Coturnix japonica: one gene and its partners. The protein of the gene in region 1 binds, or shares a complex with, the protein of each later gene. Links are inferred from orthologs where the notes say so. Each region holds a gene or a part of one and is shown in the gene's direction. Other genes may lie near its edges. The genes, in order: INTS9, INTS12, INTS4, INTS7, BRAT1, INTS6 and INTS11.

Region 1 (3,500 bases):
AAAATGTCCTCTGGTTTGATCCTATTTGACTACTGATCATTCTTCAACTAGCTACTCGCTCAGTATTCTAATTATTCATTGCTATTTATTGCCTCTTTTTGCATTACTGTTTCTGGGCTTTGATTCAATGGCACTGGCACATGTGCTTTTAACTAGCATGGCTTCTTGCCCAGTGTGAGTTTTGTTTCATGTTTGGCAATTCATGACTTTTGAAGCATCCAACAAGATATTCTTATACAAGTATCATTTTTTGTTAATATTTCTCACTTAGATATTCCCAGGCAGCTACACTGACACTTGCTTTAGACTCAGTTAAATTGCCCCCTTGACAGTTCCTAACGTGTGTATCATTAGCTGATATTATTTTCTGTTCTCACAAGATAACCACATCATGACCAATGACTGATACTTAGATGTATCAGATTTTTAGGCTAGCAATTAGCTTTACCAGTCCAATGAGCTCCAGCACGGAGTGTTGAATACCATGATGGAAGCTCTACTTCCATCAGTAAAATGTTAAGGTCGTTATTTTTTGCTGTCTGCATGACAAATTTGGTCAGCCCTTCTCTCATTGCCACCCTGCCCCAACCAGGCTACACAGAGCAGGGTGCCCAGCACCATGACCAGGGGCTTTGGAAGATCCCCAAGTGCACAGCCCCTCTGGTTCCTGTGCACTGTGCACCCTGCCACAGTGAAAAACAAGCTGACATTTGTGATACCAAAACCTGGACATCTTGCCTTCTTTTACAAGATCTGATTAAAAATAAGAGATAATGGTTTTGCCTTGATTAAATTTGTTATAAAAGTCATGCAGTAATGTGTTCAGATGAAATAGTATTGCTCTGTAGCTTGATTAAGGTAAGTCTAATTGAGGGGTTAATTTTCATCAGATTAACTGAAAATACCAGGTGGGGGAAGGAAGGAGGGAAAAGAAATCTATAGCAGAATTAACTTTACTATAAGATCGCTTGTCTAGACTGGAATGTGGAATGAGAGAGGAGCTGGACCACCTTTATTCTCAGTAGCATTCTGTATTTTCAACATTTCTCTTTTCAGAACCAGATTTCTCCTATCTGGATGCTCTGGCTCCTTATCAGCCCTTGGCCATGAAATGTGTTTACTGCCCCATTGACACAAGACTGAATTTTATTCAGGTGTCTAAATTGCTCAAAGAAGTCCAGGTAATGAATTCTTGTTGCCTTTTCTTGTGTTTCTTCACACATTTGTCTGAAATAAATAAGTTGATTGTGACTTATATTAAATAATGGCAAAATAAGATAACACACACATTCTTTCTCTGTAAGAGAGACACAGAATGACACTTTCCTGTTATTCTTTCCCCTGCTTGTTTAAATTAGTGTCTCTGTGTCTGATACAGTCTTAATGTAAGATGTACCAAGTGTAGATCATCCTCTGTGCCCTCAGCTTTAACCATCTCCCCCACGCCTGTAACTGAATCCTGCACTTGATCCTTGCCTTGATTCTGGCGTCACTGCTTTGGAGTCCCACTCACATATTACTTGCAAGTTGACAGCTTTCCTCGTTCCATTTGCACAGTCTTTCCTTTTTTGTCTAGGAAGAAAGGCTGAGCTTTCAGGCTTTTCTTTTTTTCTTTGTGGCTTCTCCTTATCCATCCTATTTATTTCTACTGAAATTTGGTTTCTGACTCGTGGCAGCATTAAATTAACACCCCATATTTTTTTCTGGCTGAGCTTTTCCCTTGGATTTGTCTTCAGCTCATCATATGCAGAAATGCATGTTCTTCCAAACCTCTTAACAATGTCTGGATCATCTTATCTGCTCATTCTGTGACCTGGCTTGTCACTGCACAACTGGTGGAAATTACATTGCCTGTTTTTCTTCCTCCATGTAACTACTGAAATATGCTGTTTCCAAAGCATCTGGCAGAAACTCTGTCATATCCTGTGGCTTCCTTAAATCCTGTGGCGATCCCCGTGGTAATCAGCTTGTTTATGCTTTGTTAATGCATTGCTGACAGGTCGTGAAAACTCAGAGTTGCCTATTTTGCTAATGTTTTTGCAGTCTTGTGTTTTGACACGTTTGCCTCAGTGCCATTTTGTGATGGTCTGCACCACTGCTGTATTTGCTTCCAATTTAGATGACAAGCGTTTGGATGAGAATGCTATTGAGCATTTTGATTTATTTCTCTCCTTATGGCAGCTAACATGACTGCTGATATTGATGTAGTGATTACAGATATAAATTTAGGCCTTGTTACTGTGGGCATCGTCTGTATACAAAGCAAATACTGCTTGTTCCTTGGACAGTCGGTTTCAATCCTGATTGAATCTTCTGGATTTCATCTTTTTGATGTTGTTTTCATACAGTTAAGTTAGCGTGCTAACGTCAATCCACAGACCTCCTTATGGCAACCATTACCAATGTAGGGCAGTGTGCAGAATCAACCAGGCATTTCTGTAAGTCATCATAGTCCTCTTTTCCAGCCTCTCCATGTAGTTTGCCCGGAGCAGTACACTCAGCCACCACCCTCCCAGTCTCACCGGACAGATTTGATGATAGACTGTCAGCCTCCACCAATGTCCTACCGCAGAGCTGAGGTCCTGACTCTTCCCTATAAGCGACGCTACGAGAAGATCGAAATCATGCCAGAAGTAAGTAACAAAAGGTGGGGAAAAGATGTGGCTTCTGCTCATACTTCGAGCAGCATTGCAGTAGCCAATTTGACTAGACATATCCTGCATCTGTGACTTGCTGTTGATTATGAACACACATCAGTTTTTGTCAAATAGAGTGTTAAGAAAGCATTTTTGAAGGGAATTTCATTCTGTAAATCAAGAATTGGAGAAAAGAGGAATGTGATGGGCAAGTAAAAGGTGTCTTCAGGTTAATTGTCCTCTGCAAGGACACATCATGTCCTTGCAGAAGAAAGAGTAATCTGCAGAAGAAAGAGTAATCTCTGCTGGCCAGCTGTGAAGAAAACCAGTCAGTGCCACCTTAAATGTGAATATGCAGAGGCACTGCAGTTTGAAATAGTAGTACAGAGCTATGGAAGGGATTGAGAGAGATTGGAAGTTATTAGCCAGGACTTGTCTCTCTCCTTCCCCAGCTGTACCTGCTATGAGAAATACCCTTTCCCTTCAGGAGCAGTATTCAGCGGAATGTTAAAGACACTGCAGTAAAACGGCTCATTTGTGTTAGAACAATTTCAATAAATGGTTAATTCCTATGGACTCCTGAAGTCCGACAGGTAATGAGTTGCTTGTAGCCATCTATAATGTGGACTGTTTATGGCTGCACCATTCATTAATAATTTATTAAGCCCATACATTTTATACAAATGTGCTCGTAATACAAAGAGTGATCCATATTCTAGCAGATATGATATTAAATATATTTTTTTAACAATGCAGTCAGCACAAAGGCGTCCTTGGATCAAAGCTGACAGTGGCATTTACCAAGAAGGTGTTACTGCCCTCTGGATATTGAATATACAAGCGTGCTTTTCATCAGAGAGCCAG
Region 2 (4,172 bases), on another chromosome or scaffold:
TCCTGTCATATTACTGTGTTTCTTTTTCTAACTTAGAAGATGAGCTGCCTCCAGAAAGAAATGCCAGGATTTTTTTTGCCCCTGTTTAGTCCTGAGCATATACCATGGGGATTTTATCACTTATTCTATTCCCAGACTCACAGCTGGACTCGCAAACATTTTATCAGCCTGATTTGTTTTTCCTTCCACTTTGCCAGATCAGTCCTAGGTATAAATGACAATAGCCACCCTCTTCTTCCATCTATCCATTCCTTAAAGCCCCATTTAACTTGCTGCTTTTTCTCCAGCTACACAATATACTTTTTTTTTTTTTCCACATAAGATATTTCAGATGGCCAAAAAGTAGCAATTAAGTTAACTTTGTTCACAGCTATGTAATTTCAAAAGCCAAATGGCAACCTGAATAAGTCAAGTCTAGACTTGGTTTCACCACAACCGCAGAGCTCGCAACACATGGAGTAAACACATAAGAAATACTAATCTCTTACTAGACATCACAAACCTCTTTGTCACAAAAAGATCATTCACTGACTACTCCAAACACTTATCTAGGAAATTGTCTTCTCCATTCTCAGACAGACAGTGAACAAATGACACACCACCTGCTTCTGAAATCCAGTCAGTGCAGCAAGATTTGGCTCAACTGTATTAATATTAGCCTCCCACAGGACATAAAGCAAAATAAAGCTATCTGGGACCAGTCTATAGATGACTTGTGTTTCCTTAAATTATTTCTTGTGAGAATATACTCATGGCCTTCTCTCACTTCAGAGAGCTGTACTCTCACACTGCCACATCACACTCCTCTTCCATATTTTGCTTTAAAAATTTCCTCCTGACAGCTTGTTTCCTTCCACAGAGATATTCAAGACCTGTCTGGACACCAATCTGTGCAGTTTATTGTAGGGAACCTACTTAGCAGAGGGTTGGACTTGATGGTCTCTTGAGGTCTCCTCCAAACGCTGCTGTTCTGTGATAATAAAGAATGGAACTAACAAAAACATTGTGCACCCATTTAATCACAACACCTTTCCTGGCACTCGTCCTTCTCTGCTTAGCCTGCATTCTGTGAGGGTTTCTATCCTACACTGGCCTTATTAATAGTAACCACTGCTAAAAGAAGGGAAGGGAGAAATCAGCTGAACATAAATAATGAACACCACAGGTTTTGCAACATCACTTAAAGATAAATAACACGGTTTGCCTTCGGTGTGAGCCCGTGTGAGGAAGCAGCACCGAGGGGCGAACCCCCAAGGCCGCCGATCCCGCGCTCTCCCTCACACACCTCCCGCCCCGCCCACCGCCGCGCGGGCCGATAAACAGCGCCCGGTCTCCACCAGCGCTGATCGATCGAGATCCATTTCTCCCTCCCTCGGTCGCTCCTCACCACTTACCCGACCCCGCGCACGATACGTCCCGGCCGCTTCCTCCCCGGCTCCGCCTCTTACCGTGTGCCCATGCGCGTCCCGCCCGGCTCCGCCCCAGCCGCGCAGCGCTCCGCCCTCCCGCCCGCGGAGCGAGCCGGAACGGGGGCTGTGTACCGGCTGAGGGCTCTGAGCGGCGGGTATTACCGTCTCTCCTCAGGTGAGAGCGTGGCGGGAGCTTCGGGGGGTGTCGCGGTGTCGTCCCCGGCCCTGAGGGTGGGCGTTGTGGGCGCCTGTGTGTCCTCCCACGGCGGAGCTGGAAGCGGCCGTACCCGCTGTCTGAGTGGGGCCGGCGGGTGGCCCCGGTGTGAGTTAATATGTGGTACAACGGGAACAGGGCTCAGTTAAACAGGCAGCTGTGGTGTGAGGAGGAGGTGGGCTGGGGGTGAGGTGAGGGGGAGGAAAGATAAAAGGATAATAGTTACAACTATAAGTACGTATATAAGACTGTGTGTGTATATATATATGTATGTAAAAAAACAAGCAATGCACAAACAAATTGCTCACCACGTACCAATCGATGCTGTGCTAGTTTCCAAGCAGCAGCAGCAAGCCTGAAGAACTCCCACCTTTTTCAAACTTGCCTGCTGTGGAATATCCATTTGGGTCATTTGAGGTCGGCTGTTCTGGTTCTGTCCCCTTCCAGCTCCCTCTAAAGCTAAAACATAGCATCATATCAGGTACTGTGAAGGAAAATAACTGTTTCCACTGATTCTAAGACAATTAGTTTCCCTCAGAGCTCATCAGTGAGCCCTCTGTTTCTGCAACAAGGAGAAGATGCAGAAGAGGGCTGAAGCATGGGTTGATTGCCTGGTAATCCATTGACCTGGATGGACTGTGTTCTGGTGTACCATTGTGAAGCCCCTTGCTTTTGTCTATGAGAAGTCATGAGGCTGGGAGAAATCACTGGGGGCTAGAAAAAGGCAGACTACATGTCTTACATATCCCTCCTCAAAAGAGGCAGGAAGGACTATCCAGGGAAGTGCAGACTGGTTAGCCTCCCTCCTTGCATCCATGGGAAGGTTATGAAGGGAGCCAGCACAGCATGGGCAGGAGCACGTGTTGACTGGGGATAACCAGCTTGGGAATCTACCAAGGGTCAGTCATGTCTGGTCAACTGGATTATCCTTTATGGCAAAATAACTAGCTCTGAAGTTGAGGGGAGGAGTGGAGAATATCATCTGAGGAGGGTCTTGCTGTGTCCTAAATAGACGCCTTTCTGTATCTAACAGGAGATTATTGATAAAATGAAGCCTGTATTTCCTTTTATGTGAAAGCACAATCTGAAAAGGGAGGATCCAATTTGGAATAAAGAAGTGAAAGGAGACAGTGAGATCCCTGTCTGTGTATGTTTTGAAGGTCCATCTGGATGGTGTCCTCGGAAATCTTGTCTGAATTCATAGCTGATTTTTTTCTTTTTGCTTTGAGCAGGAGGTCTCTTAGAAACAAAATGCCAGTGTATTGTGGTGTAATGCAGCAGGCAGCTCAGCACCACGTAGCCACTTGTTTGCTCTCTGCATGTTGGATGGGGGAGAAAATAAGAAACTTAGAAGTATGAGAACTTCTCTTTTATGGTTAGTATGGTTTACTCGGTAAAGCAAAATCTGCATGTGCAAACAACAAGAAATTCCTTTGCTACTTCCCATTGGCAGGCAGATCACAGAATCACAGAATGGCCTGGGTTGGAAGGGACCTCAAGGATCATGTAGTTCCAACCCCCCTGCCTGGCAGGGCCACCAAACATACACATTTACTAGATCAGGTTGTCCAGGGCCATCCAACCTGGCCTTGAACACCTGCAGGGACAGGGGCATCCACAGCCTTCCTGGGCAGCAGATGTTCAGTCACTTCCAGGAAAGCAGAGGTCATCACACATAACAGTTTCTTGGGAAGGCAAACTCCATCTCTCAGAATGTCATCTGCTCTTCCTCTTCTTGTCTCCCAGTTTTCATTGCTGAGCAGGATACCATATGGTACGAGCCATCCCTCTGGCTGGTCTGGGCCAGCAGTCCTGGTTCTGTCCCCTCACAGCTCCCTGTACTCCTCCAGCCCCCTCCAGGCAGGGCAGCATCAGGAGCTGAGATGTCCTCAGCTCTGCACAGCACTGCTCATCAACAGCTAAAGCATCACTTGTCAGTACTATTTCCATTTTGAAAATAATCAAAAACACAGGACGTGGTGAGTCACCGTGAAGAAAATTAACTATATCCCAGCCAAAACCATGGTATTCTGGTTGTTGGATACTATGTTGTTTATGAGTGATAGAAAGCAGAAAATAGAAGGTGATAGGGTAATGTAGAAATGTTAGATAAGCAAGTTACTGTGATAGATTGAATTATTGATTGGAAATTATGGTATAAAATATGTTGTAGGATAGAATATAAAGTTATGGATAGTCACGTTAGTAATTATAATGGAAGAATTTACTCAGGTCTCCTGGAATTCTTTGAATTTCACATCAAGTTGTCACATAAATAAGAACTGATGAATACAGTTGTTCTGATTAATACAGTTGTCGGGACTGCTAAAGTGCCTGAGTTTTGAAATATTCCTCACAGGCGATAACTGTGAAATTGTTGTCATGAATCAAATCCTCAGTATGATACGAAAGTAAAAACTGAAAATAGAAGCTTTTCCTGCTTTCCTTGATCTGTTTCATCAAGACCTGCATTAAATGTGAGTCATCTGGAATGGGCAGTATTGGTAAATACTTGAAATCTTCCACTGTCACAGTTGTTAGGGAATGGA
Region 3 (3,500 bases), on another chromosome or scaffold:
AGCAGCTCATCAGGGCCTTCATTTAAGTACATTTTTCTGTGTTATATTCACTGCTTGTATGTGCTTGATGAAGTTTAGTTTTATTTTAGTATCATTTAGTGTCAGGTGAATGTAAGGTTAAGTTGTTGAGTGTGCAGTGAAAGCTCTCAACAGGGGCTTGAGGAAAATGGTTATTCCATTTAGTCAATGCTAGAGAGCCCACACCTGGAATACTGTCTCAAGTTTTCACTCCCCAGTGCCAGAGAAATGCTGATAAGGTTGGCTGAGTTAAGCAGAGGGCCACCAAGGTGGCTGTAGTATGTTATCTGCAAGGAGAAGCCAGGGGAGCTGGGCTTCTTCTGACTTCTGAAGGAGAAGGCTCTAGGAGGACCTTCCAACCGGAGTGATGCTGTGGTTCTGGAGCTTAGCAAAGAAGTGCATAACCTTTCCCTGCTTTGTTTTGCAGAATCTCACCAAGTCCTTGCTCAGCTGTTGGATACGCTGCTGGTGATTGGCACAAAGCTCACAGAGAACCCATCTGTCAGGATGAGGCTGGTAGAGGTAGCTTGCAAGGTAAGGCTGCCTCCCTGAGGATGTAAATACTGCTGAAGGGCAAAGCTCTGCTCTTGCGTGCTGCATTTGGATTCAGTCTGTTTTGGGGGAGAGCTCAATGTACTAAATTTTAAGCAAGACCAACTTAAAACCAAATGTGATGTGAGCACAGCTCTGAATGCAGCTAACAAGTCTGCAAACAACACTGGATTCACTGCTCTTTCAGTTACTGCCTCTTGCTTCATATGCTTTTGGATACATGTCTGCTTTTTTGTAGCTGTTATTTAGAAACACTATTCCCTGTTAAGAAGTTACTGATGGAAAGCATTAATGTTAAGCAAAAGTATTTATAATCTGTTCAAATACTCATCTCTGCCAGAGGAAAGAATATGTTATCAATATTCCTTAATGTTTTTTTTTTTTACTAAAATATAAACATTTTGTAACTGCTGGGAATTTTACTCTGATCAGCTGTTTACAGAGACAAAAGAGCATTTAAAATAAATCTATTTTTGTGTCCCGTAGCATCTGACAGATTCTTCCCATGGTGTAAGAAATAAGTGTCTTCAGTTAATTGGCTGCCTTGGACCAGTGGAAAAAGGTGTTGCGAAAGAAGCTGAAAGCCAGGCTGCCAAAGATGTCCAGAAGATAATAGGAGATCATTTTAACGACCAGGATCCTCGTGTTAGGACAGCAGCTATAAAAGCCATGGTAAGGAGTGCTGGTGTGGTGGAAGAAATTGTCTGGGGGGGATTGATAAGAAAGCTGGTAAGGATCTGCAAATGAATCCAGAGAGGTTTGGACAGGAGTTATTTAATTAACTCACCAAGTGCCAGTTTAACGTATCAAAATTACCTGGAAAAATGAGATATGTTATGAAATAGAAGAACTTTATGAAATCTCAGAGGGTATTTTAGTGGTTCACAATGATATATTAGGGGTAGTATCGTTAGGTTGCGGTTGGGCTTTGACGATCCTGATGGTCTTTTCCAACCAGAGCAATTCAGTGGTTCCATGAGACCTGCTTCTGCTGTAGGGGAAGAAGCTTTTTCATTTGGGATATCGTGGTATTGTTATAGGTAAAGCTCTTTCTTTTAGTGAGAAGTCTGTATTTCCTGATTCAGGATTGGCTGCCACAATAATAAGCCCCTATTACTCCAGCATGTAATAGAACACTGCTTGTGACAGGAAACCTTGTGAGTTTAAACCTGAAAACTTGTGGTTTTTTTTAAAACAATGTTTTGGTTACTGATTTTCATGTGGGATTGAGCAAATTCAGAACTCTTTTAGCTTTGCAGCAGTAAAAGCATAGACTGTGCAGTGAGAACTTTGCTCAGTGGGGATTCCTGTGACTGTGTGGGTTTGCAGCACTTCCTTTGCTAACCCTTAAGGTTTATAGTGTTACTCTATCTTAACCTGATGGTGAACAGAGGGAGGTTGTGATGAGGAGGGTTTCGCCTCTTCTCCCAAGCAACAAACAGGACCCGAGGAAATGGCTGCAAGTTGTGCCAGAGGATATTTAGAAACATAAGGAGAAACTTCTCTCAGAGAGTGGTCAGGCACTGAAATGGCTGCCCAGGGAGGTGGTGGAGTTGCCATCCCTGGCAGTGTTCAAGAGGTGTCTGGATGAGGAGCTATGAGATCTGGTTTAATGGCTTGTGATAGCAACGGTAATGGGAGGATGGTTGGACTCGATGATCTTGTGGGTCCTTTCCAACCTTGTGATTCTATGAAAGACATTTGAATTAATACTGTTAAACTGTGAAGAAGGAAACAAGATGCATTTGGGAGGATCAGACTGCATGTGGATCTGCCTGGGCTCTCCGTCTGCTGAAGGTTACTCTCATCCTTCATTTTCGTTCTATTTTCTTTCTTTTTTTCATAGGACTTTTTACACCTTGCCATGACTTCTGCAATACTATTGAATCAAATCCATATCAAGATTGATGCCCTTCAATTTAATAGTTTCAGTACAGTGTCAGTTGTTTTGCTTTAGTCTGGAGCTTGGAAGCATCCTGAATGAATTCAGGGTCCCTGATTGTTCCTAGGGTTCTTAATCGCAGTTTTCCTTGCTACTATGTCACATGTTGTGTTAGGATACACTGTTTAGTAGGGCAGGTTTTGCTGTTCCTCTGGCCTTTAAAATGCACTGTCACTGCTGCTTTTGGGTCACTAATGACACAAGAGAAGAGGCCAACCCCCAGCTCACTACAACCTCCCTTCAGGAAGTTATAGAGAGCTATAAGGTCTCCCTGAGCCTCCTCTTCTCCAGGCTGAACAATCCCAGCTCCTTCAGCCTCTCCTCATAAGGCCTGTGTTCCAGACCCCTCACCAGCTTTGTTGCCCTCCTCTGAACCAGGGTCTCAATGTCTTTCTTGCAGTGAGGGGCCCAAAACTGGACACAGTAGTTGAGGTGCGGCCGCACCAGTGCTGAGTACAGGGATTGAGAAACAGCTGAATTACAGTAACAGTTGGTTAATGCAAGCAATTAATTTTATGCAAAGCAGTGATGAAAACTTAGTGTGTGTTATTTAAAACCATAGTTTGATTTCATTGTCGTTCCTTTCTTATGTTGTTCTTGTTTTCGCCCTTAGCTTCAGCTTCACGAGAGAGGACTGAAACTGCAGCAGGCCATTTATGGTCAGGTAAAACCTCATCTTTGTTTCTATTTATTTTGTATTGGTTTGCGTGCTTTGCTTTTCAGGATTCTGGGGCATTGTGCTTCTAGAGGTGGAAGTCGCTGAACAGAGGGAGGGCATTGCATAATTCTTATTGTCATCTTGCATTTTCAGAGTTAAATCCTTGTACATTGGAGGGTATATGTGATATGTGAGAGGGAATGGACATAAGTTGTGCCAGGGGAGGCTCAGGTTGTGTATTAGGAGGTATCTTTTCTCTGACAGAGTATTCAGGCACTGGCACAGCTGGCCAGGGAGGTGGTGGAGTCACCACCCCTGGAGATATTCAAG
Region 4 (3,500 bases), about 77 Mb from region 1:
GTGGTAGAACATCCTTCACAGCTGTTATATGTCATGATAATAAGTGTAAGGAAGTCTGAATTCGAGTCTAAAAAAACCTATGAAACTTATTTGAAAGCTTCCATTTTATTATTTGATTATGCACCTGTGTAGGGATTCTAAAATAACTAAGTTTTGGCAAGCATTCTTGTGGTGGTTTTTATTATTAAAATTCATTGTTTGGTTCTTCTGTTGATTTTTTTTTTTTAGCCTGTTTGCTTTCATTTCACTTGGTGCTTTGTCTTTTTCTCTACAGGGACTTTGCTGCAGGAATATGTAACAAAATCAGTGAGATGATTCAAGGTATGTACAAATACTGAGTGATGATATCCAGGGCTTCTTTTTTATACATAAGTATATAAAATACCTCTATACCATTGCCCTTACCCCAAATAATGTGTGTCTTAGTACCAGAAAAAGCCAGTACAATAGCCTGACAGTGTCTCTGTTCCCTGTTACAGGTTTAGCCACACCTGTGGACTTGAAATTGAAGTTGATCCCTATTCTACAGCACATGCATCATGATGCTAGCCTGGCCTCCAGCTCCCGGCAGCTGCTTCAGCAGTTGGTAACATCATATCCTTCCACCAAGATGGTCATTGTTACTCTGCACACGTTCACTCTGCTTGCTGCTTCTTCTTTGGTTGACATTCCTAAACAGGTAATTCTTCTTTCAAATGAATCTACAAAGCATGTTTAAAACAAAACAGGGATTATTGAGGATAAACTGTGATCTTTATCTTGAAAGACTGAGTCTATTGCTACAGCTTATGTTTTTAAACCAAGTCGTGAGAAAGCATTGATGAGCAAAATATAATGCTTTTATGTTTAGATAATGGGCTTTGTGATTATGATTCATATAGCAAGTATGAATGCACAGTGACATTTGAGGTTCAACTAATTATAGTAAAGTCATAAAAATCTATTGACCTTTTAATCCATACATTTGTGGCAGGCTGGTGTCTATTTGACTTACTGCATTGATTTGTTTAAAACTTCTTGGGATGGCTGACTTTCAGGAATAGTACTGAATTTGAGCTAGCTGAGACAACATTCAAGCACTTCACATGCTCTTTATGAAAGTAAGCATGGGCTTACAGGCTGTATTTCTGCAACACAGCCGCCTATGTTGTACATATAAATCAGATAGCCAGGGTGTGTGGATTTCTTATTATTTTTTTCTGAGACAGAGTGTATATCTGTGCTGCTCTCTGTTGACTGCAGATCATGCAGAAATGCCTGAAATACTTGCTACTAGTGTAATCGTGACAATGCAAAGTGTTGTCTGAGGTCCTTGGGAATGTTTTTACCAGTGTTTCTATGAGAGCAGGAATAGCACTTAGGGCTTCTCGGGGCATGTGGGGAGGTGGCAGAGAGGTGTGCTTGAAGAGACAGGAGTGAAGGATGGCAGAAAGCAGCTGTTAGATTGATTCCACTTGCCAAGGAACTGCAGTGCAGTCTTTGCCATGTGGGAAGCAAGCAGGCAGGAAACACATGGCAGTTTCATATGAGTATTTTCAAAATTCCTTCATGAATATTCTTGAATATTTATATAATATCTTTATAGTACAATCTCGTCCCCTTAAATGATGAATTTATCTTGTTACAGGTCCAGCTTTTGTTGCAGTACTTGAAGAATGACCCCAGAAAGGCTGTGAAGAGGCTTGCAATCCAAGATTTAAAGCTGTTGGCTAACAAGATGCCACATACATGGAGTAGAGAAAATATTCAGGTTAATACATTTTTAGGCAAAAGTTTGTTATGAAGCTTTGCAATTAGTTGTGGAATTCCTTCCAAGAGAACAATTTGTGAGGGAAGGAAGCAAGAATATGTGCCTCTGTGTGTCCTTAAATTAGGCATAATCTACCAAGCAAAGTAGCCAAATATAAATGAACAATTGAAGTAATGTAACTGAGGAAAAGCATGTGCTGTTGGCTTTAGAACCTGGTGCTACTGATACTTAGAGCAGTTTGTTAGGATACGTGCAAGATGTTTTCTAGATGCTTGCCAGATGAGCAAGTTCTGGTTTGATTTCAGTTTTGCCTGTTTTGGTCATAGGCCCTTCCTTCTTACAAACAGGTGCAACTAGACCTTTAATACAGATAGTTCATGGAACTTCCTTCCATTTGTATCTTCTCCCTTCTCTTGTAGGCACTGTGTGAATCTGCTCTTCACACACCGTATGACAGTTTGAAGCTGGGGATGCTGTCAGTTCTTTCCACATTATCAGGGACCATTGCCATTAAACAGTACTTCAGCAGTGCTCCAGGTAAGAAAACCAGATTAGATGATAATTCTGGGCATTTTTGGTAATTAGCTGTTTACTCCAGAATAGTTTATAGTAAACATTGTTGCATATTCTGAAAGTATTACTGAACTTCAGGGTGCTAGTTGAGGGTCAAACTGTGTTTATTGTATCTGAACTTGAAATGAGAGAGCATGCACCAATGAACAGTCACTGGTTAAGATTCTGTTACAGATCTTGTGGCTAATAAGCTCTGTGAAAGTTTTGTTTACCTTTGGATTTTCAACTTCTTGACATAAACTAAAGAAACAGTTTGCCTTTTTAAATGGTCAGCCTGTGTTCTGCTTAAGGCACTTTGAGACCACGCATTTGTGTAGTGTTTTAGTTTGAATGAAGGGAGCAGTGAAGCATAGAGGCTTTGTAGTTGAGAAGAAGCAGGCATTCTGAAATGATTAAAGGTATCTCATTCTGAAAATGGAAATGATACTGTCTGTTATGTCTTCTTGAAAGGCACTATGTCTTAATGAGTATAATGAGCCCAACAACACTGGCTGCAGAAAAGAGGAGAAACAGTGTGTTTTCATCAGTTATTCTGGCATGTCTTAATATGCTTGATAGTTCTTTTTTTTTTTTTCAGTCATTAAAATCTTTGGGATAAGTCTAAAGATCTCAAAGTTCCTGAAACATGCAGGTCTAAAGGTTGATACTCTTTTCTTTTCTTAGATGTCTAAGTTGCATTTAGGAAAGAGGAGAGAGTCTCAGTGTTAGCAGGTGTGTAGGAATATATGTTAAAATGGTAGGATAAAAACATATGAAGTAAAATAAGTAATTTTAAGAAACTGAGCACCACAAATCAATATAGCTTTAGTACGGGAATATACTTGAAAATTTCATAGTCTAATTAAACTTTGTGCTGTTATATGTCTGGTTTACCTTGTCTTTGTTTAGGAACAGCGACTACAACTGCAAGATCATTTGATTTAGTAAAATTAGCACAGGAGTGCTGTTACCATAATAACCGTGGCATTGCAGCTCATGGTGTGAGAATTCTGACAAATATATCAGCGTCTTGTCAGGAAAAAGGTAAATGAGAGCAAGGACAATGAAATAAGTTTATTTGCAGTCAGGCTTATGCACTTAACATACATTGACTGGTCTTGTCCATGAAGTTTTCTGTGATTCTGGTCCTTCATGCTGGTTATGGGGACTATATAATCTCTGCAAATGTTTTGTGGAA
Region 5 (2,865 bases), on another chromosome or scaffold:
CCACCAATGGTAGGAGTTACTGCTATGAAACTTATTCACTCTGCAAATGCTCCCAATGTCTCTGTTGTGTTTCTGAGAGTTGTTTTATTTGCCACACAGCATTTTCCACTATGTTGCTTAATACAGTGGACTGATTGGTGGGACCATGCAAATAACTAACACACTTCAGACACTGCTATTAGAATAATTGTTTCAAAGGCAGAATTGAAAAGAGCCAGTGTCATGTTCACACATATACTTTAGCATTTTACCTACAGACAGCTATCTCAGACAGAAATACAAAGCTCCTTTAACTTTTTATGGCCAAGGTTGAGTAAGATGGATATTATGACTTTCAAATACAGAAGTATTTGGTGAGTTTTCTCTTTCACATAAACACTGACAAGTGTGTAACTTTAACTGCTGTCCAGCAGGAGTATGCATCATACATACATCGTGCATCTCTGTCAACAGTAGGAAAACTTAACTTAGAAGGAAGCAGTATAAGTGATCTAATTTGACTTCTTACGCATTGCAGGGCTCCATTAAGAGATGGATTGGGTTGCTCAGGGCCTTCACTGATCAGTTTCAAGTATCCCAAAGGATGGGGATTCCACAGCTTCTCTAGGCAACCAGTTCTAGTAGTTCTTTACCAGTCTCACTGTAAGAAGTATTTTCTGTGTATCCAAGTTGGACTCTGCCTTGTTGCAGTTTAAGATGTTGCCTCATCATGTGCACCTCAGAGAAATCCACTGGCATCTTCTCCCTTTAGATGGTGGAAAAAGCATGGGGACATCATCACATGTTAAATGATTCTAGCACATATAGATACTTTCAGACTGATGAACATGTGTGTCTTACTGCCTTTTTTTTTCTTTTTTTCCAGTAAATGTCTATCTAAACTCTCTTCTTACACAGGTTTTCACTCTTCACTGCTGAATGAGGCTGCTTATCAATTCCAGAACCGTTTCTCTCTTTCAGTTAGCCAGGAAGAATCAGAAGAACGCTTGACTTGTGACAGTAATTTCATTTCTATCCTATTGCTGGCTTTTTTTTACAAGCCTGTGTAAAAATCACTCGTGTGCTCAGCATTTGGGGAAAGATGTTTGGGAAGAGTTGAAGTTTGCTTGTTTTGGTAATTGCTGTTTCTTCCTTGAAGCCCACAAGTTGTGAGGATTAAAGCACTGACTGTTCTCCTTCAACCAATGGACTGTATTTTGAGAGCAGCCTCCAAGCCTCTGGAATATGCAGGTACTATTGCAATAGAAAAGTTTAGAGGCTAGTCGGTTTGCCAATGTTTTAAGTACCTGGATCAGACAAAACTGGAGAAAGACAGAAAAAGCCAAGCACAGGAGCAAAGTTTGTGGTAAAGCACAGCATCCTTCTGACAGTTGCATCTTAAGGGATCTTCATACTGCATCACTTCAAAATAATAGCTTAAAAACCAAGTTTGGAGATCACTGTCCTTTGTAATTGCTAACAACCTGAGCTTCTCCCTTTGATCCCCTAGGTTTGCTGGATGAGTCGGTTAGTGATCCCTCTGCTGTTGAAAGCCTTCTGTCCTCCAAGTCATCTTGTGCTAGTCTTCTGTGTCAGACACTTGCTCATCTGGAGGAGCTTCTCTCTGTGGTGAGTGAGTTCTGTTAGTTAGAAAATCCAGTAGGATATATTCCCAGTAGGATAACAAAGGAATATGAAATCTTGTAAGGAGGGACCATACTTGGTTTGACACCTACCTTCACAGGCTTAGTTGTCATACATTATATCCACTGCAAGTCTTGATCCAGTGAAAAACATAAATTGAGTTGCTTTCCCAATTAGTGAAAAGCATCTCCTTCCATTTATGCAATAGTTCATTGGATGAGAGGAAGATTACTTGTTTGTAGTTACTAGCATTATGTTACCATAAAGACAGTAGAAATTGCAGCTTTTGCTGTGTCTACCAGAAACTCTTGCTCTGTTTGTATGCTTGAAACATTTGATGAAAGCGTGTTTTTTTCCCTCCCATTAGGCTTTGTTGCCCGTGAGTTTACCCTATGCATCTTTGCTGCATTCTGTCTTGACAATATTACAGTTCTGTAATGGCCTCCTGGTTCCAGCTTCTCCTCTGGGAAGCAAGATTAGCCAAATCTTGGTAGGTTGCTTCCGAGTACAGAAGTCAGCTCTGGATGCCCTTGCAGCACTTTCTGAACAGAAATGTGAGTTAAACTTTGCACTTACATTTTAATTTTGGAAATGACTATTCTGTATTTGAGCACCGTGCTTTGCTTGCTTCTATAAAACAGTATGATAAGCCTTTTCATTCCATATTAGAACAGCTGAATTAATCTCTTTTCCTTAATATTGGTTCACGAGTTTTTGTTTTGCTTTGTTTTTAAATGTTTCAGGCAGCGACACAGTTGTGGAAAGTTTATTTGACGTCCTTCTGGCATACCTGGAGAGTCCAAATACTTCTCCTACTGTGAGTATAGAACTAAAGAAGGCTCCAAATTTATTAGCTTGCCCAGTGGGATACAGTTCTGAGAAATGGTCTGACAACAGCTGTTCCTTAGCATGTATTACTATGCATGCTATACTAATATACATGTATTAGCATGTATAGTATTAGAATATCTAGAAGGCTTCTTTTGAGTGACTTGCAGGAAATAGCTACAATGCCAGTGAGCAAGTAGTTGACCAATAAATCAAATGCTCTTGAAAATACAGGAGCCACCATGTCTAACTGTAGAACCAATATAATCAACTCGACTGCGCTCTAATTTCTTCTGACAATTTCACTGTAATTTTGAGTCCAAAAAAGAAATGTATCTAGCATAAAGACAGCAGCACCTTCTCCTGCAGTAAAGTACATCTGCTTTGTATTTCTTCAGGTTCTGAAGAAATCAT
Region 6 (3,500 bases), on another chromosome or scaffold:
ATTTTGTGGTTTTCTGTTTGAACTGCAAATGATTGCACAGAAAATGATGTGAAACCAATGCTGTCGTTTCTTAAGGATCTGAAGTAGTGATTCTGGGGGACTCTTATCAGCTGGGCTTGAACCCTGCTGTTCATCCTGCTGTCCTCTAGTGGTGAAATGCTGCATATGCTTGGAATGTTACAAATTACTTTTCATGGATACAAGAAAAAGCTTTAGGAAATAATAGAGTTGTTACAAATAAGGCTTGAGATAAAAACAAAGCTATCTCCCAGTACTGAGCTATGAGGTTATGAGGGCACTTGTGTGTCATTCAACATAGACAACGTTGAAGACCACTGTTGGTGAACAACTTATTTTTCACTTGTTCATTTTATCTTTCTCTCAATGACCAATATGAAAGATAAAACAAGAAAAGATGTGAAGTGCATGGGGAAAGAAAATGCAGGTTACAGGTTTCTAGACCCATCTTATTTTGTTAGGTATGCAGTTGTTGTGCTGCTACGGTAAATACTTGAGGGTTTTGTTTGTTTAAAAACAACAACAAAACCTATGAACAGTGCTGAGTGTGAGAAGACAGTTGTTAATGTTTGCAGAGTATGAGGTCTGGTTTGAATCTACAACTTCTCCAGTAACGTGAATGTTAAATTTAACTGAAATTAGACTGTAGGGAAGAGAGTGAGGACATGCGATTTAATACTGATGGCTTTGCATGTGGTCTTGGATTTTTATAAACATTTCTGGTAGTAATTTGTGCATGTTGCAGTGCTCTGCTGCTGAGACCTGCTTTGTTTTTTGGGTTTGTTCACTATAACCAGCTGAGCTGCATGAAGATTTTGTAGTTTGAGATGCACCGAACTCAGAATAGCACTGGGGCAGGGTCAGGTGGGAACCTTGTAATATGTGCTGCCTGGTGAGTTACAGTGCTGCTCTGAAGAGATGTTTTGCCAAGGAAATGTGCTGTCTAGAACCACTAAATCTTATTCATCTGTTGGCTGAGATCTGTGTTGGAAAGCTTGTCAGCTCTTAAGTAGCAGTCCCAATAGATGATATTATGGTACTTACAATTGAATCCTGTTACAGTTGGGATTGGAAACTATTTATGAAGAACTATTCTTTTAGCTTTAGGTTCCCTTTGTTGAGCAGGTGTTGGGTTACGTTTGCATAAAAAGGGGAAAGGCATGTATGAACCAGTAATGAACCACATATGTAGCCAAGTGCCCTTCGAGCAACTTCCCATAAAATATTAGGGGAAAATAGCGCTCTTCTGTCATGCTGTCTGCTTGTGAGCAAAAACAGATACAGGATAAATCATCAGGTGCTCTGAGAAGGCAATGTTCTGATTCCTGCTGACATGTTAAGTGGCTTTGTCCCATTTACCCAAGGGTACTGGTTAGGCTGTGGTTCTTCAAGGTCTTTTCCAACTTGGGTAATTCTATGATTCTATGATTTGTACCTGGCTCTGAGGTTGCATAAACAACAAGGCTACAATACTTGAATAAAACAAAGGTTTTATCTGTACTGATGGTGGTAATATCTACCAGGGATTAGTCTCATTTTTCTGAAACCTGTAATTACTTGTTATAAGCCTAGTCTATCTGTATAAGTTCTCTAGAATTGAACATTCTTTAAACTTTACGACTTCTTGCTCCACTTGTTTGTTCATAAAGCAACGGTATTCAAAAATATGTGTGTTACAAATGCTTTTTAAAGCATTGATTTCTTGTTTCAGTTAACTAGTTCTAAATGCGCAGGATTTTGAGATGTTCTGATGGTCTTTATGGCTGTTGCTTGTTAATTAATAATTTTGCTGTGTCAATAGTACGCTGTATTTAAAGTTGGGAACTTTTGAATCGCTACTGTTTCATCTGGTACCTAAAGCAAAGTGAAATATCCCCACGTGTTCTGTGTCTGTGGGTGATTTCTTTAATATTAGAAACTAAAAAACATTTAGTTTTTCCCAGATAGAGGCAATATAATTGCATGGCAGACAGTTCTTGTATTAGATAGCTGTAGCTACTGTTATTTATTATGTATAGGTAAGAATACAGTTTACATTTCAGTATTGATTTCAACCTGTTGTTTACTTAGAGCACAGAGAAGGTACGAGTATGATTGAGGGATATGCCCAACCTAGCTAAAATCAATCCTTTCTGATGCTGTAGCATAACCACCACATTGATTTACTTGAAGTTGTTATTTGGAGCAGATAGTCATGGTAGCTGGATTGTTTTGAGCAGCAATACCCAAGTTATGTTTCTTCTCTAGTAGGCTTAAATTAAAAATACCTTTTTATTTTGGTGTGCCTTTTAACTTGAAGAATCCACCAGGAGTTTGAGCTGACAATAAGCTTATTCTGCAGAAAATTAGTTCTTATAGGTAAAATTCTAGGGAAGGTATTTGATCGATTCTTAAGTTCATATTCAGAAGGTGGTGGTTCCCACTCAGTTTGTGGTTCTCAAGTTTGTGCCTCATGTTGTCCTTAAATTTCTTTGAAGTGCTGATTAAATTAAGTTTCACTTGTAAAGAAGCAAAAGAGAATCATAAATATCTGTGGAAAGATTCTGTGTGTGTTTATAAGTGGTTATAGATTTGCTATCACTACGTAACTTGATTTATTTCTTCTAAGTAGCTACTCACGGATTTAAATTCCTTTTCAGCTCCACTTACCTCTCAATTCCCCTCTGCCTGGAAGCGAGTTGACCAAGGAACCCTTTCGATGGGATCAGAGGCTGTTTGCTTTAGTTCTTCGTTTGCCTGGTGTTTCATCACCAGAATCAGAGCAGATGGCAGGTGTACCAGTGGATGACTCTGCAATCACACCAATGTGTGAAGTCACAGGAGGTAGGTGCCCTTGACTTCCTTTGACAAATCAATGATTTTGAAAATGAACTGAATATGGATTTGTTAATCAGGTATGTGGGGTGGACTAAGTATTCGTGAACTCTTACTGAAAACTCAGAACTTGATTATAATAAATTTAATGACCCTGCATTAATGCTTCACGTGTAACTTATCTTGGAAGAATTCAATTATATTTCCTTTAGCAGTTTATTGGCAGAACTCTTTAATTTTTTTTTCTAATCCATCTCAGTTTCACAATGAGAAATTGTAGCAGTTGAGTCTGTGGTGTAGTTATGACAAATAACTAAAGTTATGGAAAGTTATGGTCTCTTCTCCCAGGCAACAAATGGGACCTGCGGAAATGGCCACAAGTTGTACCAGAGGAGGTTTAGATTAGACATAAGGAAAAATTTTTTCTCTCTGAGAGTGGTCAGGCACTGGAATGGCTGCCCAGGGAGGTGGTGGAGTTGCCATCCCTGGCAGTGTTCAAGAGGTGTCTGGATAGGGGAGGTAGGAGATATGGTTTAATGGCTTGTGGTAGCAATGGTAATGGGAGGATGGTTGGATGATCTTGTAGGTCCTTTCCAACCTTGTGATTCTGTAATCCTATGAAACTTCTGTCGTGTTTTAATCAAAGCAAACCAAAAGTATGGGAAATG
Region 7 (3,986 bases), on another chromosome or scaffold:
CAGTGATGCCGTACACATCTCGGATATGGGGCAGAGCATCACCCAGCATCTCCACAGCCTCCTCGGGGCCGCCTACATTCATCACCTCTAGGAAGGCATCGCGGGATGGCAGGGTACAAAAGGCCAAGGTAGCGGCCTTACGGACGATCCAGGGATGGTAAGCGGCCAACGAGGCGTTGTAGCTGTCCGTGCAGATGGTGGAAGTGCTGGCGTCCTGCTGGGCGGTGCGAAGCCCTTCGAGGAAGAGCTGCAACCAATGCAATGCCCGGTGCAGCCGTAGGACGGTCCTACAGCCTGAATTGGGGTGGGCTGAGCGCTGTTCCAAGTCGACCAGCCCTCCGTTGAGCTCATAGCGCACCATAGATTGCATTGTACGGTATTCCTCCTTCTTCTCCCCGCCGCAATAACTCTCCATAATCTGGATTTTAGTCACCGCGTCCTTAGAGATGAACGAGAAGATGGCGCCCAGCCCGTTGAGGAAGCTGAAAAGGGGATAAACGGAGCGGTATAACACAAAGCAGCATCCTCGAGGGGCAACCTCCCCTCCCATCACAGAATCACAGAATTGTAGGGGTTGGAAGGGACCTCTAGAGATCATCGAGTCCAACCCCCCTGCTAAAGCAGGTTCCCTACAGCAGGTCACACAGGAAAGTGTCCAGGCAGATCTTGAATATCTCCAGAGAAGGAGACTCCACCACCTCTCTGTGCAGCCTGTTCCAGTGCTCCGTCACCCTCACCGTAAAGAAGTTCTTATTAAGGAACTTCTATGCTGTATTTCATCCCATTACCCCTAGTCCTATCCCTACACACTACTAAAAAGAGACCAGCCTCACCACTATGTCCCCCACCCCTCAGGTATTTATAAACCTGGATCTAATCCCCTCTCAGCCTTCTTTTCTCAAGGCTAAACAGACCCAGTTCCCAAAGTCTCTCCTCACAGGGGAGATCTTAGCCATCTTAGTGGCTCCTCTTTCCAAGAGATCCCTGTCTTTTTTTTGTACTGGGGAGCCCAGAAAACTCACCGTACGAGCCCCCTCCATCCGCGGAGATACGGGCCGAGCAGCACCTCGCGCTGCTCCGTCACGCAGCTCTGGAAGGCGGCCATCACCTCCCTCAGGCTGAACGCTCCCTGCGCCGCCGCCATCTTGTCGGCGGGAGGCGCCTCCCATGCGCTAAAGGGAAGGGCGGGATCTACCTCAGAGTGACGAGCCGTTGCAATATGGCCGTTAAAGGAACGGCTGCTCCCTTCCGAGCTTTGAGTTGAAAGAGGTTTAAAATGCCTGAAATCAAGGTGACACCGCTCGGTAAGTGGTGGATCGGAGCGTTGTGGAGCCTCAGAAAGGGGCTGGGTCGCCTCACTATGGTGTTCTATTGGGTTCCTGTAGGTGCCGGGCAGGATGTGGGGCGAAGCTGTATCCTGGTGTCCATCGCGGGGAAGAATGTGATGCTGGACTGTGGGATGCATATGGGATACAACGATGATGTGAGTGTGACACACGGTTGGGTTGTTCTCTCATAGAATCCCCAGCTGTTCCTGCACCTCTCTCTCTATGGAGAACTTCCCCTTAGCATCCGATATAAAGCTTCCCTCCTCAAGCTTAAAGCCATTCCTCCTGCCTTATCGCTATCTACCCAAGCAAAAAGTTGATTCTTCTCCTTTTTATAATCCCCTTTTAAACGTTGAAGGCCTCTCCTTGCATCTTTCTCTAGGCTGAACAAGCCCTGCTCCCTCAGCCTGTCTTTATAGGGCAGCTCATCCTTTTGACTCTTTATGTAGGTGTCCATTGCGTTGCCTGTAGTTCTTGCTGTGTTGCTCCCACAGTCTCCCCAGTTTTGCCTTGAGATGGGTTTACAGTGTCCAGTGTAGCAGGTGGTTCGTGCTGCTGGTCCATATAGTTAATGACATGGTACTAAGTAGCTTTGTTTGAGGTTGTTAACCCGTTTTCCACCTCTTTGCAGAGACGCTTTCCTGACTTTTCCTACATTACTCAGAATGGGAGGCTGACTGACTTTCTAGACTGTGTGATCATCAGGTAAGAAAGCTTCCTTCCTGATCACAACAGAGATGGGAAATCAAAGCAAGTTTTGTTTCTAAAGGGAAAAGTTCTATTTTGTGGAGTGCTTTGAAGAGGTGAATCAAGCTGTGAGAACCAGGTTATCTAAGCTGCTGTGTAATGTCTTCATCCTTTCTGTCTCTTTCGCAGCCACTTCCATCTGGACCATTGTGGAGCCCTCCCCTATTTCAGTGAGATGGTCGGCTACGATGGGCCCATTTATATGACGCATCCTACCAAGGCCATCTGTCCCATCCTCCTGGAGGACTACAGGAAAATAACTGTAGATAAAAAAGGAGAAACAAACTTCTTCACGTCCCAAATGATTAAAGACTGTATGAAAAAGGTGGTGGCTGTGCATCTTCACCAGACAGTTCAGGTAAATGAATGCTTCTGCTTGGATGGGAGCTACTGAACTGTTGAGGAAGGCAGAGCAGTTTTCTGTTTGTGAAGTGCTTACCATGGTGTTTGCTTGTGTTCAGGTGGATGAAGAGCTGGAGATCAAGGCATACTATGCAGGCCACGTGCTGGGAGCAGCCATGTTCCAAATCAAGGTTGGATGTGAGTCAGTTGTGTACACTGTAAGTATGCACAGCAGTAGTTACATATGCTTATGTTTCCTTCTAATAGCCTGTTCCATTAGCTTGAGAAAATAAACGGATTTCCCTTCCTCCCTTAGGGTGATTATAACATGACACCAGACAGACATTTAGGGTAAGTAGGAAGGCTGGGCTCCTCTGAATTGTATCTATTTCAAGCAGGGTGATTTTACCACAGCTTCTGCTCATATACCAAGGCTTACCAGCATTGGTTCTTTGTTCTTTGATGGGAGACTGGGATGCTTAATGATGTCTTTCCAGCAAAGATAAATGCAAGTGTGAATTTTGAGGAGGATCAGAGGTAAATCGAGTCCTCAGAACAGACCTTAACATAATCTTCTCTGTACTCATATTAATCCATTTGTATGGCTGCGTGGTAATTGGATTTAGGTGTTTGAAATGCTTCATTGTTGTGGTATCTTCCACAAGCATTTGCTTTTTAAGAGAGTGCCAGTCACCACCTTTAACGCTGCTTTACTTTTTTACTGGCATATATGAGAGGTTTTTAATGTTTGTGATGCTTACAAAGCATTGAAGAAAGTATTTTAAACAAATAACAGACTGAAAAGCTGCTTTTCAAAGTCCACTGAGTTGGTCTCTATTCTGAGCTGGGTTAATTCCTACCTCCACACAGAGATAGTGACCTTCTGCAGCCGAGACCTGCAGAGAAGTGATGGATACTGGCTCTTAATTTGATGACTTTAAAAAGAAATCCTTTTGTTTCAGTGCTGCCTGGATTGATAAGTGTCGCCCCGATTTATTAATAACAGAATCTACCTATGCCACAACTATCAGAGACTCCAAACGCTGCAGAGAAAGAGACTTCCTGAAGAAAGTGCATGAGACTGTAGAACGAGGAGGGAAGGTACGGCACTCTGATGATCACTGATGTGTTCTTTGCTCTCTACGAAGCTCTTATTCAGCAGTGGTAATGCTGCAGTGCTCTCTATGTGCTGTTCAGGTTTCACAGCCTAAATCATGGCTCTGTTGCAGGTTCTTATCCCAGTTTTTGCCCTTGGTCGTGCCCAGGAGCTTTGCATTTTATTGGAAACGTTCTGGTGAGTGCAGTCTCTGGTTCATGTTCCTCATCCTCTTCATGTCCTCAAGGTTTCTATGATTCTTTTCTATCTGTTTGGTACAAATACTCTCCTTAGTTTTGCTCTGCACTTTGGCCCATGGTGCTATGTGAGAAGTGATTCTTTCCATGTATCGTTTATTTATCAGCGTTTCTAAATCTAAGAAACTAAACTAAACATGTTCCTTTCTAGGATCATTCTCTCCTCCTTCCCCAAGCACTCAGTACCAGCTGTCCATTAAATAGTTCAATGGCATC

The links.
Region 2: INTS9 (region 1) and INTS12 share a complex: the UniProt entries of both Homo sapiens proteins name them as parts of the integrator complex. The link is inferred for Coturnix japonica from reciprocal best matches to the Homo sapiens genes INTS9 and INTS12.
Region 3: the proteins of INTS9 (region 1) and INTS4 are in contact, whole or in part, in a cryo-EM structure (PDB 8RC4), measured with the Homo sapiens proteins. The link is inferred for Coturnix japonica from reciprocal best matches to the Homo sapiens genes INTS9 and INTS4. Residues at the interface, in NP_060720.2 of Homo sapiens: Lys2, Tyr4, Lys18, Ser21, Thr22, Leu43, Val44, Gln45, Glu87, Glu89, Leu90, Asp92, Asp97, Thr122, Glu145, Arg146, Val147, Pro148, Lys159, Glu174, Ser176, Thr177, Ser192, Gln195, Phe206, Gly207, Ile379, His380, Ser384, Asn385; in NP_291025.3 of Homo sapiens: Leu53, Gln54, Leu57, Gln58, Arg61, Lys62, Pro86, Ser87, Leu90, Lys91, Ser94, Gln125, Gln129, Asp132, His164, Gln207, Asp208, Pro209, Arg210, Arg212, Asp244, Tyr245, Glu246, Gln247, Trp296, Phe837, Gly840, Leu841, Val842, Val843.
Region 4: INTS9 (region 1) and INTS7 share a complex: the UniProt entries of both Homo sapiens proteins name them as parts of the integrator complex. The link is inferred for Coturnix japonica from reciprocal best matches to the Homo sapiens genes INTS9 and INTS7.
Region 5: the proteins of INTS9 (region 1) and BRAT1 are in contact, whole or in part, in a cryo-EM structure (PDB 8UIB), measured with the Homo sapiens proteins. The link is inferred for Coturnix japonica from reciprocal best matches to the Homo sapiens genes INTS9 and BRAT1. Residues at the interface, in NP_060720.2 of Homo sapiens: Gly276, Met277, Gly279, Glu280, Cys282, Ser283, Asn284, Ala286, Leu287, Arg290, Asn291, Tyr315, Asp317, Ser318, Ala319, Gly320, Ser483, His484; in NP_689956.2 of Homo sapiens: Ala406, Pro407, Cys416, Pro460, Gln506, Lys507, Arg508, Cys510, His511, Pro512, Arg517, Glu545, Leu549, Gln552, Asp556, Pro557.
Region 6: INTS9 (region 1) and INTS6 share a complex: the UniProt entries of both Homo sapiens proteins name them as parts of the integrator complex. The link is inferred for Coturnix japonica from reciprocal best matches to the Homo sapiens genes INTS9 and INTS6.
Region 7: the proteins of INTS9 (region 1) and INTS11 are in contact, whole or in part, in a cryo-EM structure (PDB 8RC4), measured with the Homo sapiens proteins. The link is inferred for Coturnix japonica from reciprocal best matches to the Homo sapiens genes INTS9 and INTS11. Residues at the interface, in NP_060720.2 of Homo sapiens: Glu127, Gly198, Tyr199, Ser200, Gln201, Lys202, Tyr231, Glu338, Phe339, Ile342, Phe343, Glu345, Gln352, Lys354, Val355, Tyr356, Leu357, Pro358, Glu359, Pro360, Pro361, Arg511, Arg512, Tyr513, Glu514, Lys515, Ile516, Glu517, Ile518, Met519; in NP_060341.2 of Homo sapiens: His94, Gln97, Ala98, His137, Leu138, His139, Gln140, Thr141, Lys274, His277, Tyr278, Lys280, Leu281, Phe282, Ile283, Pro284, Trp285, Arg291, Phe294, Ser449, Pro450, Ser451, Ile452, Pro453, Val454, Gly455, Ile456, Ser457, Leu458, Leu461.

What each region holds. Positions count from the first base shown.
Region 1 is NC_029518.1:96,768,344-96,771,843, reverse strand, and holds part of INTS9 (integrator complex subunit 9), read left to right. Parts: intron 1-1,056; coding exon 1,057-1,181; intron 1,182-2,465; coding exon 2,466-2,633; intron 2,634-3,392; coding exon of another isoform or gene 3,393-3,500. UniProt on the Homo sapiens protein: Component of the integrator complex, a multiprotein complex that terminates RNA polymerase II (Pol II) transcription in the promoter-proximal region of genes.
Region 2 is NC_029519.1:34,243,709-34,247,880, forward strand, and holds the start of INTS12 (integrator complex subunit 12), read left to right. Parts: upstream 1-1,372; 5' UTR 1,373-1,457; coding exon 1,458-1,584; intron 1,585-2,881; exon of another isoform or gene 2,882-2,998; intron 2,999-3,995; exon of another isoform or gene 3,996-4,100; intron 4,101-4,172. UniProt on the Homo sapiens protein: Component of the integrator complex, a multiprotein complex that terminates RNA polymerase II (Pol II) transcription in the promoter-proximal region of genes.
Region 3 is NC_029516.1:172,682,346-172,685,845, forward strand, and holds part of INTS4 (integrator complex subunit 4), read left to right. Parts: intron 1-445; coding exon 446-552; intron 553-1,056; coding exon 1,057-1,242; intron 1,243-3,125; coding exon 3,126-3,176; intron 3,177-3,500. UniProt on the Homo sapiens protein: Component of the integrator complex, a multiprotein complex that terminates RNA polymerase II (Pol II) transcription in the promoter-proximal region of genes.
Region 4 is NC_029518.1:19,455,774-19,459,273, forward strand, and holds part of INTS7 (integrator complex subunit 7), read left to right. Parts: intron 1-274; coding exon 275-321; intron 322-479; coding exon 480-679; intron 680-1,627; coding exon 1,628-1,750; intron 1,751-2,169; coding exon 2,170-2,287; intron 2,288-3,211; coding exon 3,212-3,346; intron 3,347-3,500. UniProt on the Homo sapiens protein: Component of the integrator complex, a multiprotein complex that terminates RNA polymerase II (Pol II) transcription in the promoter-proximal region of genes.
Region 5 is NC_029529.1:3,415,861-3,418,725, forward strand, and holds part of BRAT1 (BRCA1-associated ATM activator 1), read left to right. Parts: coding exon 1-9; intron 10-1,138; coding exon 1,139-1,230; intron 1,231-1,489; coding exon 1,490-1,608; intron 1,609-1,990; coding exon 1,991-2,177; intron 2,178-2,366; coding exon 2,367-2,440; intron 2,441-2,849; coding exon 2,850-2,865. UniProt on the Homo sapiens protein: Component of a multiprotein complex required for the assembly of the RNA endonuclease module of the integrator complex.
Region 6 is NC_029516.1:152,154,715-152,158,214, reverse strand, and holds part of INTS6 (integrator complex subunit 6), read left to right. Parts: intron 1-2,657; coding exon 2,658-2,841; intron 2,842-3,500. UniProt on the Homo sapiens protein: Component of the integrator complex, a multiprotein complex that terminates RNA polymerase II (Pol II) transcription in the promoter-proximal region of genes.
Region 7 is NC_029536.1:1,973,238-1,977,223, forward strand, and holds the start of INTS11 (integrator complex subunit 11), read left to right. Parts: upstream 1-1,186; 5' UTR 1,187-1,276; coding exon 1,277-1,304; intron 1,305-1,385; coding exon 1,386-1,483; intron 1,484-1,959; coding exon 1,960-2,033; intron 2,034-2,204; coding exon 2,205-2,433; intron 2,434-2,536; coding exon 2,537-2,635; intron 2,636-2,733; coding exon 2,734-2,768; intron 2,769-3,379; coding exon 3,380-3,518; intron 3,519-3,646; coding exon 3,647-3,711; intron 3,712-3,986. Other genes in the region: CPTP (ceramide-1-phosphate transfer protein), read right to left, coding at 1-482, 1,023-1,144.